3 linked regions of the Drosophila melanogaster genome follow. The protein of the gene in region 2 purifies or fractionates together with the protein of the main gene of each other region. This does not show direct contact. Each region holds a gene or a part of one and is shown on either strand. Other genes may lie near its edges. The genes, in order: CG5577, CG10912 and CG30281.

Region 1 (6,445 bases), on a different chromosome or scaffold from region 2:
AGCACAGAGTCCAAGATCTACGAAGTCATTCCGCTGTCCATGTGCGCTATTAGCATGCCGCCGCCTCCCACTCGGCTGGGCATGCTAACCTCCAGGAATCGGAGGCCCCGGAACAGGCGTCATGGTCTGTGGAGTATGAAGCTTCTGGGTCTCTTCGACTGGCGGCGAAGAAGAAAGCCGCCACGTGCCGACTCCGACGAGGATGAGGATGACGAGCAGACGCAGCTAAGGGCCAACGAAGCACCGACCACGTCTGCGGCAGCTGCGGCGGCACAAGCTGCTGCACAGGCTGCTCGGATTAGTCCTCCAACTGGAGGTCGCCGCAGGATGTCCTACTATCGACGCGAGGAGATGGAGGCCCGAAGGAAGGGCAAACGAACGCCACAGTACAATTCCGTGTCGAAGATCGATCGCGCCTCGAGGATCGTCTTCCCACTGCTATTCATCCTTATCAACGTGTTCTACTGGTACGGCTACTTGTCGAGGAGCTCAAGGATTTTGGCCAACACGCCGGATGCGAGCACCTGATGTTACCTTTTAGCAATTTAGACAGGGTCCTCGAAGAAATCATTAAGCGATCGCCGGCGGCAAACTTACAACTAAAGCTGATGGAAAGCGATGCATACGCAGAGTCGCGGAATTTAAACACTGCGATTCTATAAAATCTTTGCACATGCATCGTTTAAAATCAGCTTAAGACAAGGCGTGGGGGGAAAATCAGTTGGGGGATTGGGAAAAGCAGGGGATGGGTTTAACTTTTCAGATTCAGTTACGCTCTTATTCTGATTTGCTACCAAATGTGACACCGCTTTATGGGATTTCTTTTCGCGCTAAATTGCTAAAGTACAGAAAACAGAACTCAACTCTAACATATCAGAGGACTTGTTAAAACGGACACTCACGAAAATGTCGTGCTTCAACAGTCAAAATATCGTAAAAAACTTTCGAAAACAGGTGTTTGATTGTTTCAATTTTACACGGAAGCAAACCGCCAAAAATATAACTTCTGTGATACTTGCTTGCTTTGTTTTGACAATTAGCAGCTCACATCGATGGGTGTCCTGTAAATTTGTTGTACAGCTAACCAATAAGTTGTATAGTTTCGATTATGTGTGTGTCTTAAATAGTTAACGTTGATTGATAATTGATTTGCAAGTCACAGCACAAGGAACTTGCACTTATTTAAGCAATTTGTTTAGTTCATTGCAAATTACAACTTTTACATGGGATCACCAAGATATAGGAACGAGTAAGAAATTGCCGTCTCTGCTTTTCTGACCCGGCAAGTAATAGAAGGTTAAGCTAGTATTTTAATAAGTCACTCAGCCTATATTGTTAATTCAAAGAAAAGTTATTGGGCCTGAAAATTATTTGGGGACGGACATAAAAATGAATATTCGCAAATGGTTAGTGATTTATTTGTGCAATATGCATTGTCGTCTTTCCAAAATTTATTAGCTAGTTTTGTTCATGGATAACTTTCAGACCCAGCAATTTCTCAACCACTCTATATATGTAAAAAAAGTATCCATCAGAGAATGTTATTGTACTTGCCGGCAGATACAATATGTACAACTATGTGTAAACACATCAACTAAGGCCAAATAAAAGTCGAATTAAGAAGTTGATAACGAGTAGATTGCTGCGCGAGAGTCCCATGGATTTATGGCTCACAAAATGTTCAGCAGATCGCCCAGACGGGGCAGATAAAAGTCTGGCTGGGGCAGCCTGTCTTTTTCCAGCCGGACATCCGAGAGATTATTGTAACGACCCGTGCCCACCAGAAGCGATAGCATGCCACAATTGCTGGCGAAACCGACATCTATTTTGAGGCTACGGGAGAAACTCATTAGGAAAGATTGAAAGGATGTGTTAATCCCGCATACCAGTCACCAATCATAAGCGTTCGCTCGGTACGTAGTCCCTCGGCCTTGATAAAGGGCTCAAGGACCAATGGATTTGGCTTGCCCATCTCGAGGGCTTCACGCTCCGAACATGCCTCGATTCCGGCCACAAAGGCCCCAGTGCCGGGGATACAAAAGGATGGATACTTGTGCACGGCATCCCGGTTGGTGACCAAAAAGGCGGCGTCGGGATTACTGCAGAGGATGTGACAGGCGCGCGCCATCTTGCAGTAGCTAAAGTACTCATCCCAGCCGACCACCACGGCACCCACGTCCTTCGCCGCCTCTGGGTTCCCAAACTCGCGTGTCACAAAGTCCGGCCATTTGTCGCCCGGAGGCAGTTCATCTGTTCCGCCGGCTCCGTAGCTGTCGATTCCGCGCTGCCTTAATTCCCGCGCAATGGCCGCATTGCCCACCACATAGACCTTGTGCCGGGTCCTGTCGAACTTCGGACTCCCAACCAGATAGTCGGCGATGGCCGCCGTGGGCGAAATGATGTGTCGGTCGCTGGGTAAATGGAAGCCAAGGCGCTGGGAGCGCTCAAAGAGCTCCTGTCGCGTCTTTAGGCCATTGTTGGTAATCAGGTAAACTTTTTTGTCAAATCGATCCTGCAGGGCATTCACCACATCCGGAGCACCAGCGATGGCCGTGTCATCCTGCCATATGGTGCCTGTGCGTTTAATGGATATTTGATTTGGTGTCATTTGAAGAGGTTTGAAATGAGAGATATATTTTATAAAGTAACTAAATAATATTGGAATTAACACGAGTTTTGGCTTTATTTTAAAATAATTACGAACGAAATTTCTGTTTGGTAAGCCCAATAGTACATGGGAAATTTATACATTAAATTGGAATGATCTGCGAGAGATCAGAGAGATTTTCAGGTATAAACATATTCCTATTGATCAGGTATAAATATATTCCTAAAAATGTAAAATGATTTCAGCAGCGTTAAGCCTTATCAACTTTTTCTAATTATTAACGATTTTACGTTTAAAGTTATCCACTTACAAAATGAATAACAGTAACAATCGATGTAGCAGGCCGATGAAATGTAAACTTTTAGCTACCGCGATCGCCAAGCTTTTCCCCTTACCCATGTAAATTACCATCGATATTTTATACTCTGTTTTTTCAGTGAAGCGACAACTCTGGTAAAAGCTCCATAGCAGCACTCACAAGCCCAATGAACCCTCTCTCTGTGGCACCTTAGCCGCCCTTGAGACTCACCGTCGCCGTCGCAGAGAACCGTGTCGAAACTTTGGAGCCACTCGCTCACCTGCTCCTCGGATAGGCCGGTCAAGTCGATAGCACCGCCTCTGGACATTTTGCTTCGTAGACCGCTTCGCCAAATGCTTGCGACTCAACTAAATCGACGGCGACGGGCTGGCTGATTTCGATTCACGGTGATTGGGGAAAATCTGCTATCTCCCTTTCGCACAAAGCTCGCTCGGAAAAACAAATTGAGTCGGGCATATCGGTTAAATCATCCGTCTCACAAAATGCTTTTGAATTTATTTAAATATTCTTTGTTCTGTGGTATAAATTGCACTATAAATTTGCGTTAAGTATTAATAATCTTTCCTGTCTATTGAAGTTAAATGTAAAATCTATACAAACACATGTCCGTACTATTTACTGATTACTGATTCATTTCAAGTCCGTCAGGCTGTTCACGATCGACGGCAACAGATCTCCCAACTTGGGCAGGTACACGTCTGGTATGAGCTTCTTCTCCTCGGGATCCTGGCTCAACTTCCAACGCTCCACGTCCTTCAGCTGATGGATTCCGGAACCTACAAGCAGGGTCTGGAAGCCGCAATTGAACCCAAGAAGTATGTCCGTATTGGCTCGATCTCCGATCATCAGAGTTCTCGATGGATCGATCTTCTTCTCCGTGACCAGAGACTCACAAATGGCAGGATTCGGCTTCCCGATCACTACAGGATCCCGCTCCGCACAGGTTTGAATGGCCCGCACGAAGCTCCCGCTGCCTGGTACTATCATATTGGGCATGGGGAAACGCTCATCCGTATTGGTAGCCACGAACAGACACTCCGGGTCGTTTAGGTAGGAAGCGGCCTTCATCATCTTGGGAAAACTGAAGTGTTCGTCGAAGCCAACGACCACGGCTCCGATGTCCGTGTCCAGTTTTAAATGCTGTGCCATGAACTCGGCCAGCGATCCCTTCATGGGTTCCGGGCCCACCTCAGTGTGCTGAATGCCCACGGCGTCCAGTTCCTTGGTGATTCCCTCGCTTCCGATCACAAATACCCGCTTGCTGAAGTTCCGTCGTTTCAGGTACGCAGCTGTGGCATGGGCCGTTGATATAATGCCATTCTCCTTGATATGAAAGCCCAGTTCGACGCCTTTCTTGAGAAGTTCCGACCGGGTCTTCGTCGAGTTGTTAGTGCAAAAGTAGATCGACTTTCCCATACCCTTCAACTGGTTCATCACATCCACAGAGCCCTCCAGGGCCTGGCCATAGATCCAAAGGACACCTGATGTGAAAAAATGGATTAATATTGTAGAAGAATTTTCTTAAAATTAAAAAAAGAACGGTGCTAAATAGGTTCTCACTTTGTAGTTGTTAGTTTTATTAATGCCATTGCTAGTTTTATAAAGGGCGTTATTGATTTCTCAATATCTACAAAAAGTATACTCATATTGTTGGTAATTTATTTCTAAAATTGATAAATTAATCATTCAAAGGCAAAGAGGACAGTTTGAAATTAATTCCAATTAAGTAAATTGGTAACTTCGCAAAGATACATAAACGAAAAGAAATAAAAGCTGTTATGATTAAAGAAGGCATTATTGCATAAAATTAATAAATAATGGGGTTGAACACAACTTTTGATATTGCGTATATAATAACGATTTCCTTGAATTGATAAGATTGTCTAATATTAATAAACTTAGGGCTCATCACTATGAGCATTAGGGAATTTATCAAACGGCTCTTTACTGCTTTACTCTTTACTAAATATAACGATGATTAACAAGATATGAGGGCATCCGAAAGTCGACTTCCCGCCATATCACGCACTTCACTCTTTGACATTGAAATAAACGACGCAGCCACAATACAGAAACTATTGGCTGCTGACGTATTTGGGCAGAATGTGGTATACACATATCTTTATGTAACGCAACTTCCTGGGGGGAATCCTGGGTGGGTGCGAGTTAGTAGTATCTCATCCCCACCACCGACTTACCATCGCAGTCGGTTATTACACTGTCGAAGCCTGCTAGCCACTCGGTCACCTTGGCGGAGGATAATTCCAGGAGATTGGTGCACGACTGCTTGTACATGTTGATAGCTGCCTGTCGCGAAAATCTGGCGAAGTTACAACTCATCTATGGCTTTGCAGCGACGACTATCTTATACACATCACTTTTAATTTATTAATTGACTCTCGATTGCGAGAAACTCCCTGAGAATTAAAGCAGCTGTTGGCGCCTGTTAAGGCTATGTTACTATCTGTCAGATTTCAGCGTAGCTGTTAATGCGCCATGTTAAAGTCAACAGAGTGCTAACAAGTGTTTGGCGCCAAATTTGAATTTAAGGGCTCCTTGGAAGCAGAACTTCTGTGCAACAAATGCTTATATTCGAAAAATGAACTAAGCTCCCCAAACTATTGTAAACACACACTTTGATCATTTTTATGCTTGTTTATTGTTTTATGTGCCTAATCACTAAAATTAATTACTTATAGTACAGGCATTTTTATTTTGTTGAATCTCAGCTTTCTTTTGTGTTTATAAACTTGCTGGAAGAACAAACCATTGCAGAAATTTAATTGAAATACTGACCCTACACACGTTACAAGGTTGGTAAGCAAATTAAAGAGGTTGCAAAGCAGCGTTTTTGTGGCGGCGTGGCGAGGGGTGTGTTTGTGTGGAGGGAAGAGCTGGAATCGAGAGCGAAAACGTTCTTGCGTTTTGTACCATAACTTGCGTTTAAATAAATCTCATTAAGCTAGCGCGAAAACGAACGAAAAATTGTTGGCTAATTACAGAAATAAACTATTTTACATTTACAATAATCATAAATTAATAACTAGGACACGAAACGATATCGAGAAAATTGCATGTAGAGGACCGAGGCCCTCTGCGTTTTTTTTATGTTGCCATTTGGGGTGCGTCTGCTGATGAGAGGTAATGAGCCAAGTCTATTTTGCTAAAGGATCCTGCCTAAAACTGCGACATAAGCAGACTCCCACCGACGCCGCCCCCGCCACCACCTCCTCCTCCGCCGCCGCCACCTGGACCGCCACTAGTGCCCAGCACAGATCCCAGCAGACCGCCACTTGACATCTGCTGTTGCTGCATGGGCATCTGCTGTTGCTGCTGCATCTGCATCGATGAGGAGAAGCTATTCATGTTCCCCACAACGCCAGGTCCCATACTGGCACTAAGGCTGGACAGCCCGGGTCCTCCAGGTCCTCCTCCCAGCGATCCCAGACTAGTGGCTCCCATTACACCCGCTGCTCCGCCCAAGCTCGCTCCTCCGGGCAGCAAGCCCACGCCCGGTT
Region 2 (4,598 bases):
ATGACGTATAAATGTCTTCTCGATAAGCAGCTCTTCAAAATACTGTCGTCGTTTCCGTGTCGAAATTTTCTATGTCGTATGTTCGACATTTCTGGGTATTAGCAAGTATTGTATCAATTGCATTTATAGTCGGCAAATGTTGAATCAACAAGTACAACATGCCTAAGTACAAATTTATGTTTAAAATGCAATTAAATGTACGACAGTAACTACTACCGGTGTTATTAACCATAACAGTTAACAAGTCACGGTTAAGCGAGTTTTAAAAATAGCATTTAACCATTTAATAACCATTATGATGCTTACTTCCTCTTTCCGTACTTTGGATTTTTTGAATCTTTTATTAAGGAGCCCCCATTGATTGCAAACCATTGTTTTTGATTAGATGTGACTTTGAAAGTCAAGTTATCAAGTTTCCTGGACACTTTACCTATTTATGGCTAGCAATAGTTAATTAGTCACTTAGGCAATGCCTTCTTTTTCTTCTATCGTCGCGTTGACAGTGCTAAGTTAGTGGGTGTTATAAATTAAATTATAGCTAATACGCTAGGTGATTTTTCTTTGGGGTGACTCAAGTGCAAGGCAGACGAGTGAGTTACCAACCAACCAACCAGCCGGCTGACAGGAAGCAGACGCGGAGTGGCATTGGAAATTGTTTTACTACGGGGCCATTTACAAAACAATTACACTTATTTGTGCGCCATTTAACAGCTCGTCCCTCCACTGACAATCCATCAGCGGCTGTTTCTACCCATTCAGCGAAACTCTGAGGAACTCAAGGCAACCGAAAGCCGGCTGACGCTACTCGACTTCATTTCGTCCTGACAGCTTTGGAGTGGAAATGAATACTCGGGCCAGTCGATCCACTGGGCGAAAAATAATACGAAAACAAAAAAAATATCCTAAGGCCAATTGAATTAGCAGTATAATCTATTTTAAACACGACTTCTTCATATAAATAGTAGTATCTACCTCCACTTAACTCTTTTCTAAGTCCTAATTTTCTCAATACTTATCAAAGCAAAACCAAATTTGTTCCAGTGTTCCTATTTCCGTTGCAGAACAGTTGCTCCAAAAGGACTGCTTAGTATGCAGCTCAGCAAGGAGAAGAGCCAGCGACAGCTGACGAACTGCATACCTGCAATGGCAGGTAAATAAAATTAATCATACGCCCCGTGGAACGTTAGTGTTCATTTTAAAAAATTTGCCCAATTCAATTATTAACTTCGTTGTGTTGAAATTTATGATTTCATAAACTGTAATTATCTATTTGTATCGCAAATATATATCAAGAATTTTGTTATTCGGTTAACAATGAATTCTATTTGCAGAAATGAGGCAATATTCAATTATTTTGTGCATTATTCATAATCTCAAGAGCAATTATAATTGGTCAATCCTTTGTGTGGCAAAGGAAATAAAAAATAAATCGAATTCTTGGAACGGTCGTAGCCAGTTAAATTAAAAGTTGGAGGAATATCTTCCGTTACTCTTTCCCAACCACACACACTTCAAACCAGAGCTGTGGTATGATAAGAGGCATGGTGATCGAAATGATTAATGTGGCACAAATAAATTAATTGCCATTTAATAATAGTATATAAAATTGGTGTAAACAAGATACCCGTTGAGATAAAGAATGCTTCAGTAAAGAATAAAATATATCTCGTTTTATGAACTTGGTAATTTAGTTGAAAATTGGTAATTACACATGGGTGGGGTGCCATCACGACCTTACCAACGAATAGCAGTAACCCTAATTTTGAACTTTCAGGAATTTAAATGTCAAGTTTGAATAATCCGTTAAAAATATGGTTTGTTTATGCCATTCACGTGATATGTGTTCACTTCATCAATTTACTTAATTTTAACCTGACATATTTAATTCTTCAGTATCAGCACCAGTGTTATTTTGTTTTAAAGTCTTGTGCGTTTAAATTATTTTGGATAGTCAAATTTAAAATAAAATAAAATTATTCTTTATTATTATTATTTATTATGAAGTATTAATTAAGTATTAAGTATTAATTATTGGCGGCTTAAACTTACTAGATAAAAATTTAAATAACTTAATTTCCAAATCGTTATAAACATAATTTTAGAAATATAAAGACCATAAAATTAGAAGAAGAAAAATTCTAAAACTCTGTTTACTTATTTACGCGGGAGTCCCCTTCTTACTTTTCACGGCCCAAAGCTTAGTCATTCCCATTCAAGGTGCTTTTTGATGGTTATTATCTGGGTTATGCAAACCTGACTGCGGCAAGTGCCGAATAATAATGATATCAGAGGAATTTTCGCATTAAAAACTCGAATATTATTAGATTTACATTCATTCCGGCGGGGTAACAATTGAATGACCTCCAATCAATGACCGATTTAAAATGGAACGTCTCAAAACAGATACCCACCGCCATTTTGTCGACGTATGATTGTTTACAGATTTTCGAAGGAAATGAAAGTAGACCAAGTCCGGTGTGTAGGGTGAGTGGCATACTGATATGTCTTATCTGCATCAAGATAGGAGAAAAGCCCCTGCGATCGCTAAGTCTGTGGCACCCAAAGACTTGGCATAAATGCCTTGGCCAGTAGCCAGTTAGAAGCAAGTTTCAAACGAACCTCACAACGAGCAACATGCAGTCACATCTCATCGCCATCCTGCTGGCCACCGTGGCCATTGGCTCCTGCATCGCGAATCCCAACCTCATCTCTGGTCCTTCGCGAATTCTTGAGATAATGAGCGCCACCAGTGATATCCAGCGTAATAATCCACAACTGACCGTAGAATGTTTTGACTACTATAATGACGTATTCAAAACCGAGTATGCGGAGTATGTGGATGAGTACAATCTGTGCGTCGATAAGTATGATGGCGGTTATGAACAGGTTCTGGAACAGTACAATTCCGTTGTCTGGGACCTCAGCAATTCCACCTTCGAATCCTGCATGTTCCTGCTGGACTGCGATAAACAGAATAACAGCGAAAATGCTCTATCCTGCTACTCCACTGAGGTAAGTGAATAGTGATTTGATTTTTTAAATACAATTATTTGATAAGTCTTATTTTGTAAAATTAAAACATTCAAATTCAAATTAATTTTCAGGGTCCGACATATTCCAAGCAGTTGTCGAATGTGGCAGCCAATGCTTCGGTCTCGGTCAGTTCACTGCGTCAGCAGGTCGAAACACTGGTGTTCACCCGTGACCAATGCTGTTCTGCAACGTCCAGGAACTATGAGATCCGCTCCGGCGAGTCCTACGAAGATCTTCAGAAGTGCCTGAGCGGTGAGAATCCTGTGCCGGAAAGAAGCACCACCACTACCAGTTCCAGCTCCAGCTCCAGCACCAGCACCACCGCCGCCAACCCCACTACTACCACCACGACCCCATCTCCTTCAACCACCACCTCATCGTCTTCCACCTCCTCAACAACGAGATCTCCATCGACAGTTGCGCATTTTAGTTCCGTTGAAAACAGCAGTGGCAACAGCCAGCACCGATTTCCAAGAAGACTGGACAATATTTTCAAACATATTCTTTAAGGGTTGAACAATATAAAAGTCAATATCAATAAACTAAAAAGGAACATTGCAAAAAGACAATATTAATAGTGAACAATTAATAAAGTAAACTAATATTAATACTCATTTTTTGGGCTATAACTAGGGGTATAGCTAATGTTTAATGAAAAGTTTGGACTTACAATATTTTGTGGCATATCTTACAATTAAAATGAGATTGTGCTCTAAATAATGTTAAAGAAACTAAACACTTAACTTACAACTATATTTTATATGAGTTGATACAACTGTTTCAATAGCCATTTAAAATTCCAAGCTAGAATAATTTATTTGCCAAGAATACTCTTATCTTCGTCTGAATGGCTTTTTATCCGTTTTCAGTAAACTTCTGATGCAATTGAAAAACAGGCCTAGGGCCTTTGAGAAATGGCAATGGCTTAAGGATTGGCTCCAATCCTTAAACTAAACAGATGGAATCAAGTGATGAAGTCAATCTGGAAACTCAAACGAGAAACTAAAACCCATTGCAACTTACTTAATTAACGGACCGATCTAGGTGGAAAACCGAGTAGGAAACCAACCTGATGCGATGCAAATAAAACTTTTTGCATTTGCCATCAGTCCAAGTTTATCAAAGATCCAGCAGGACACGGACTGGGGGGAGGGGGGGGGGTTGGCATTAGCGGGGAATGGAAGGACAAACATGTAAATCAGCCTGGGAAAACTTTACCCCGGGCAGGACAAATAAAAAGGGCGAGGAAAAAGGAAATCTAGGACGGGACACTTTAAGGTAGCGGTAACAGTTAAATAAACATCAGAGCCATTTTCCTAGCGGTGTTTTTTTTTATTCAATTTTAATTGCATGTGGTGTTATTGTTTGTACAGCTGCCGGTGGCGGCCTTGTTGTCACTGCAATTAAAACAAATTAGAAGCGCTGTGCAAAGGGGAGAAGATTTCACTTTGCCAAAATAAAGCCAATAACTTGGCAAGTCCCAGTATCCTGCGTCCTTGCCGTCTTGCAGCCTGCCTATTGGTTGGTTGGCATTGCGATACCCAAAACACACACACACACACTGA
Region 3 (4,757 bases), 4.1 Mb from region 2:
GCGGTTTAAATGTAGCGAATTTATATGAAAGTATAATGGAATTAACAGTGCGCGACACAGCCATAAAGCCAAAACTGGTAATGCACATCTAGGAATGGTGCCAAGATCAACTATAACTTTTTCTTTATAATTTTGATTCAAGATTATACTTTATAAGACTCCTATTTCATGAAACTTACTGCCTTCAAATATGTCCCCTTGAAATTTGTTTTTGAGCATGTATGTTCATTTCTTAAGTTCTTAAATAAATACTTTTATTTTTTCGCACTGTCTGTCCGTCAGTAATTCTTGATAAGATATAGAAATTTTATAAATACCTGGGTCTTATGCTTCACATTTCTAACGAAGTCGCCTGCCCATGAATCATCGTTTCCAGCAAACATTTTATTTAACTCCCAAGATATTTGCCAATGGTCAGACAAACTGGAGGAAGTCAATCTAAGGAAGCTATCTTTTTAACGAGAATTCAACAAAATATTAACACGATGAGTAAAGAGTATAATATGAATGAGTAAAAGGAAGTCGGTCCAAAATTATCAAATCTTAGCCAGAGCATTCTTATTTAAAGCTCAAAAACATTAAAATTCAAATACAAAAATTCTTTAACGTTTAATGTTAAATTCATTGCTTAATACAGATAGTAATACTATTTTCCCTTCCGTCCAACGCTGGCCAATTTTCCCAGCGCCGCAGCAGCTGTTCAATTAAGCGACAATCCGTCTGGATGAATCAAGCGATTGAGTTGAGTGAATCATCTGCGCTGGAGGCCAGCGAAGGGGATCACAGTGGACAGCAATTAAGGAGCTGCCGGTTTCCAGCCGATCTGTTCCACTGTGCCACAATAATGAGTCAAGACAGCCCAGTCGGGGTTTTTCACACGTTTCGCCTTCCCTGCCCGGCAGTCTTACGGTTTAGCATTTCTTTTGCGGATCTGCAGATTCTTCTCATCATCATCAGTGGAACTGATGACAAGTGTGGTCTGCGTCTGCAATTGTGGTCTCCCTTTGTCTGGGCTTCTGGTCTTTGTCGCAGTCACTCATTTCCATAGGCCTCCATGGAGCTCCCATCTGTGACGTCAGACCCCCGCGAATATATTTTTATCAATGTGTTCACTTCGCTCCCCCCGATATCTCTCATTACCCGAGGCTCTTTCTCGCTGGAGACTCTCCCCAGGCCTCCGGTTTCTCTGTTTGAATTTTATAGCTGGGGCATCGCATGCGCGGCCGTTGGAGCTCCTCAGTTGGAATTCAACTTGCGAACTGAGCGCAACGCGCGTTCCACTCGAAAACCTCGACGAGAAACAAAGACTATTCGCAAACGAAGAGAACAATTTGTTTACGTGCGCGTGTAGAAAAGCAGCGTTTGAAAAAAAAAATCAACTAATAATACAACAAACAAATCAGCGGGAAACGGTTATTATCAAATTGTAAATAAAAGTCCCAAAATGTTGATAGTGTTTATCAAGAAATAAAGTGATTTCCCTTCGGTGTTTTCGGTGTGGAATTCAATGGGCGTTTAAGGCATTTTGCATGCCCTGCCTTCGTAGGTTGTTGGAACACTTGGGTCTGATCATCATTTGTACGAATTTGTAGCCGTAGTCGTAGCCACGCCAGCTCATCCAGGTGATTCCACGACCCGACATCTTCGGCTCGAATCGACCTCCTTCCAAATATTGGCCATTGAGGTTGCTAGCGAAGATAATTGTTTGACTTTTTCATTTGAAGATATCATATCATATTCTTACCTCCTCTGGCACTGATCATACCACCAGGCCCCCACATAAATCCTGGCGCATCCGTGACCCGTATCATCGTGATCGAATGTGGAGAAGGGCATTCCCTTGTGGTACCTTAACGAATCACCGGCGTCTCCCGAGTATTTACCCAAAACAGATAGCGCATAGGACGCTGATGCATTCCCAATGGCAAAATCCTCGTATCGAGCATCATGTACCACTCCATTGAAATCTTCCATATAGACAAACAGCTCGTAAGGCTCCGCGGTTGTTAGGAAGTGTAGCTTTTCCAGACCCATAAAGAATTCTCCGCTAAGCTCCCCAAATCCTTGGCTATACTCCTCCCAACAGCGATAGAAGTTTTCACTGCCATCCTGTCGTCGCTGAATTACAGTCCATCCAGATCCCGCCAGCCGAGTGTCACAATAAACCGGAAAAGGTTCCAGACCCGGAACTTCAATAACATGGATGCCATTACTGTTGATTCCGGCAGCTAGACAGGAGGATGGGTTAATTGCTGCTAGACGATTACGAAAAGATGTAATTAGTTTAATTTTTGTAGAAGATCAGAAGCCAAAATAGCTCGAACTTACTCTCATGACTGCCTCTTTCTTCTGTGATTTCCTTGTAGCTCTGTTTTAGCTCTTCCAGCCTGATCTTTAAACTGAAAAATACATAGTTTAAACTTGAAAGCTCTACGATGTTTTGTGTCACAAACCTGGAAACCATGCTTTCAGCTTTCTTATAGACTAGATCCAATTTATTGCTTTGAGCAGTAGACAAGAGGCTGCCACCGCTTAAAATTAAAACACACAACAAATAGAGATTCATGATCTTGTTCCGTGCCTTGTTCCAACCCATCTAGATTAGATAGATTTGTATAGCTTGAAAATCAATTTCGATACTATATAGTTCGATTGACTTATCAATTGCATTGACAAATCGTAGGTCAAGTTCGCCTTGAGCGGTAGTAGATCAGGAAGTTGAGACAACTAAACATGAGAATTACAGTATATTTCGCAGTTCTAATTGAGATTCTGATTAATGTGCTCGGCGAGAATGCGATGATTCAATGGAACAACCTTTGCATATTAATCAAGTACATAACAAATTGTTTTCACGTTCTCGAAGCCATTGAAACCAACAGGGAGTGAACAGCTAATAATAATAACAATATTCGTGAAACCGCCTTGCCCAAATTCACCGCTGAGTCACTGGTATCATTCGGCACTTGGGTCTTATCATCATTTGGGTTACCCTGTATCCGTAGTTGTGGCCACGCCAAGATCGCCAGCACATTCCTCTGGCGAACAAGCTCTCCTCGTATTTCCCACCCGGCATATACTGACCATTAAGGTTGCTTGAATAATTACAAAGTTGTGAGATTATGTTTTGAGAAAGTTTATCCGACAGTAATCTCACCTGTCCAGACATGCGTTGTACCACCATCCTCCCAGATAGTAAAATGCACAGTTCTTATTAAACTCATGATCGTTATCCCGATCATATGTGGAGAACTTCATTTTGCGGTGTGAGCGGAGGGAATCTCCCGCAGTGCCCGAATATTTTCCCAGTGTATTCATGGCGTAGTCGTCATCTTCGTTTCCAATGGCAAATTCATCGAATTTCGCATGCTTAATTGTATCATCGAAATCCTCCAGGTGTACATACAACTCATGCGGCTCCAGGGCAGTCAAGGCACGAATCTTTTCGAGGCCGAGGAAGTACTCGTCCATTAGATTGCCGAATCCGTTCTTGTACTCCTTCCAATTGCGAAAGAAGCTCAGATTTCCACTGAACCTCTTTTGAATTACAATCCAACCGGGTCCAGCCAACTGATTTTCGCAATACACTTGAAAGGGACTCAAGCCTGGAACTTTCAGGGTGTGCAAGCCATTTTCAAGATCCCCAGAAGTCAGACAGGAAGTTGGATAAATCACATCAGGGGATGTGTTTAGAGTGCCATTGGTTTCAAGTTGCAAAAGTGATTCTTGTAAACTGGGGAGTAAAACAGTAAGCTTAGGCCTACTTTCTTTGTTTGAAACTTACGTTGAGAGTGCATTTTCTGCCTGTTCATAAATAGCCTCCAAGTTTCCAAACAAATTCAGCGTCTGTCGAGGGTTTTGTTTATTTCGATTAAGTATTGGTATACTTTTTGAGCGCCTATTTAACTTACCTCCGCATGACAAAAAATCATCACACTAAGTGCAATGCAAACGGAAAAAACTGGGACGCCGGGAAACATGATTTTGTCAGCTAATCGATGAGAATATAATGAGATTGGATCGTTTCTAAACATTTTATTGCACACAAAGGGAAATAATTGTTGGCTTTGTTTTTGTGCCGTTTCTTATCAGTTGCCATTCAAATAACTTGATTATGATTTCTTGATAATTATTTGGAGCCACTTCCATTCACGGAACTCTTACTGTGAATTTAATGCTATTTTGAAGGGTGGTTCGAAATAAAGCTAAAGAAATTTAAATTGAAAACAGCCATAAATGTGATTAAAACAAAGGCAACACATTCACAACATTTATGATTTGCTCGAATCACGTGGGATAGCCTGGTTTTCAAGTGGGTTGCCCCAGTGAAGCTAAAACTGTGCCGCTTTACGCGCTGTTTGAGCTTGAAATTTTCCATTGTGGCTTCAACCATAGGGGCATAATAAATATTACTAGTTTTATTGGGATAAGGGTAAATGTTGAAAATATATATTAAATATTAAATTATCGCCCAATGGATTTGTTTCATTGGTAAACATAAGCTCATATTTTAGGCCAATTAGGAATGTGAAATCTAAAAACCGAGCTTTGAGTTGTTGGTGACTCTTAAGAAATTGTAGAAACTAGAGAATTTCAGGCTTCGGTGCCTCCACATCCATTTTGTATCTTTATCGGGGCGTCAATCTGAAGACAACAGAAAACAAGACATAAATAATAAGTATAGAAATTGTATTATAAACACACAGCATGTGTGAGTGTTATGGTGTGTGGGTGGTGACAGCGGTCTCGGCTTTGGA

Evidence for each region.
Region 1: the proteins of CG10912 (region 2) and CG5577 purify together in Drosophila melanogaster (affinity purification with mass spectrometry, with the first as the bait; one large-scale study listed by BioGRID). This does not show direct contact.
Region 3: the proteins of CG10912 (region 2) and CG30281 purify together in Drosophila melanogaster (affinity purification with mass spectrometry, with the first as the bait; one large-scale study listed by BioGRID). This does not show direct contact.

Annotation. Positions count from the first base shown.
Region 1 is NT_037436.4:17,838,150-17,844,594, forward strand, and holds CG5577 (uncharacterized protein), read right to left. Parts: upstream 3,279-6,445; 5' UTR 3,235-3,278; coding exon 3,138-3,234; intron 2,575-3,137; coding exon 1,887-2,574; intron 1,834-1,886; coding exon 1,671-1,833; 3' UTR 529-1,670; downstream 1-528. Other genes in the region: Grd (glycine receptor), read left to right, coding at 1-528; CG5567 (uncharacterized protein), read right to left, coding at 3,558-4,408, 5,126-5,267; MED19 (mediator complex subunit 19), read right to left, coding at 6,105-6,445.
Region 2 is NT_033778.4:18,055,066-18,059,663, reverse strand, and holds CG10912 (uncharacterized protein), read left to right. Parts: upstream 1-2,598; 5' UTR 2,599-2,634; coding exon 2,635-3,012; intron 3,013-3,104; coding exon 3,105-3,542; 3' UTR 3,543-3,600; downstream 3,601-4,598.
Region 3 is NT_033778.4:22,112,820-22,117,576, reverse strand, and holds CG30281 (uncharacterized protein), read right to left. Parts: upstream 2,581-4,757; 5' UTR 2,567-2,580; coding exon 2,454-2,566; intron 2,400-2,453; coding exon 2,329-2,399; intron 2,253-2,328; coding exon 1,745-2,252; intron 1,689-1,744; coding exon 1,505-1,688; 3' UTR 1,388-1,504; downstream 1-1,387. Other genes in the region: CG30280 (uncharacterized protein), read right to left, coding at 2,936-3,095, 3,158-3,733, 3,785-3,846, 3,912-3,980.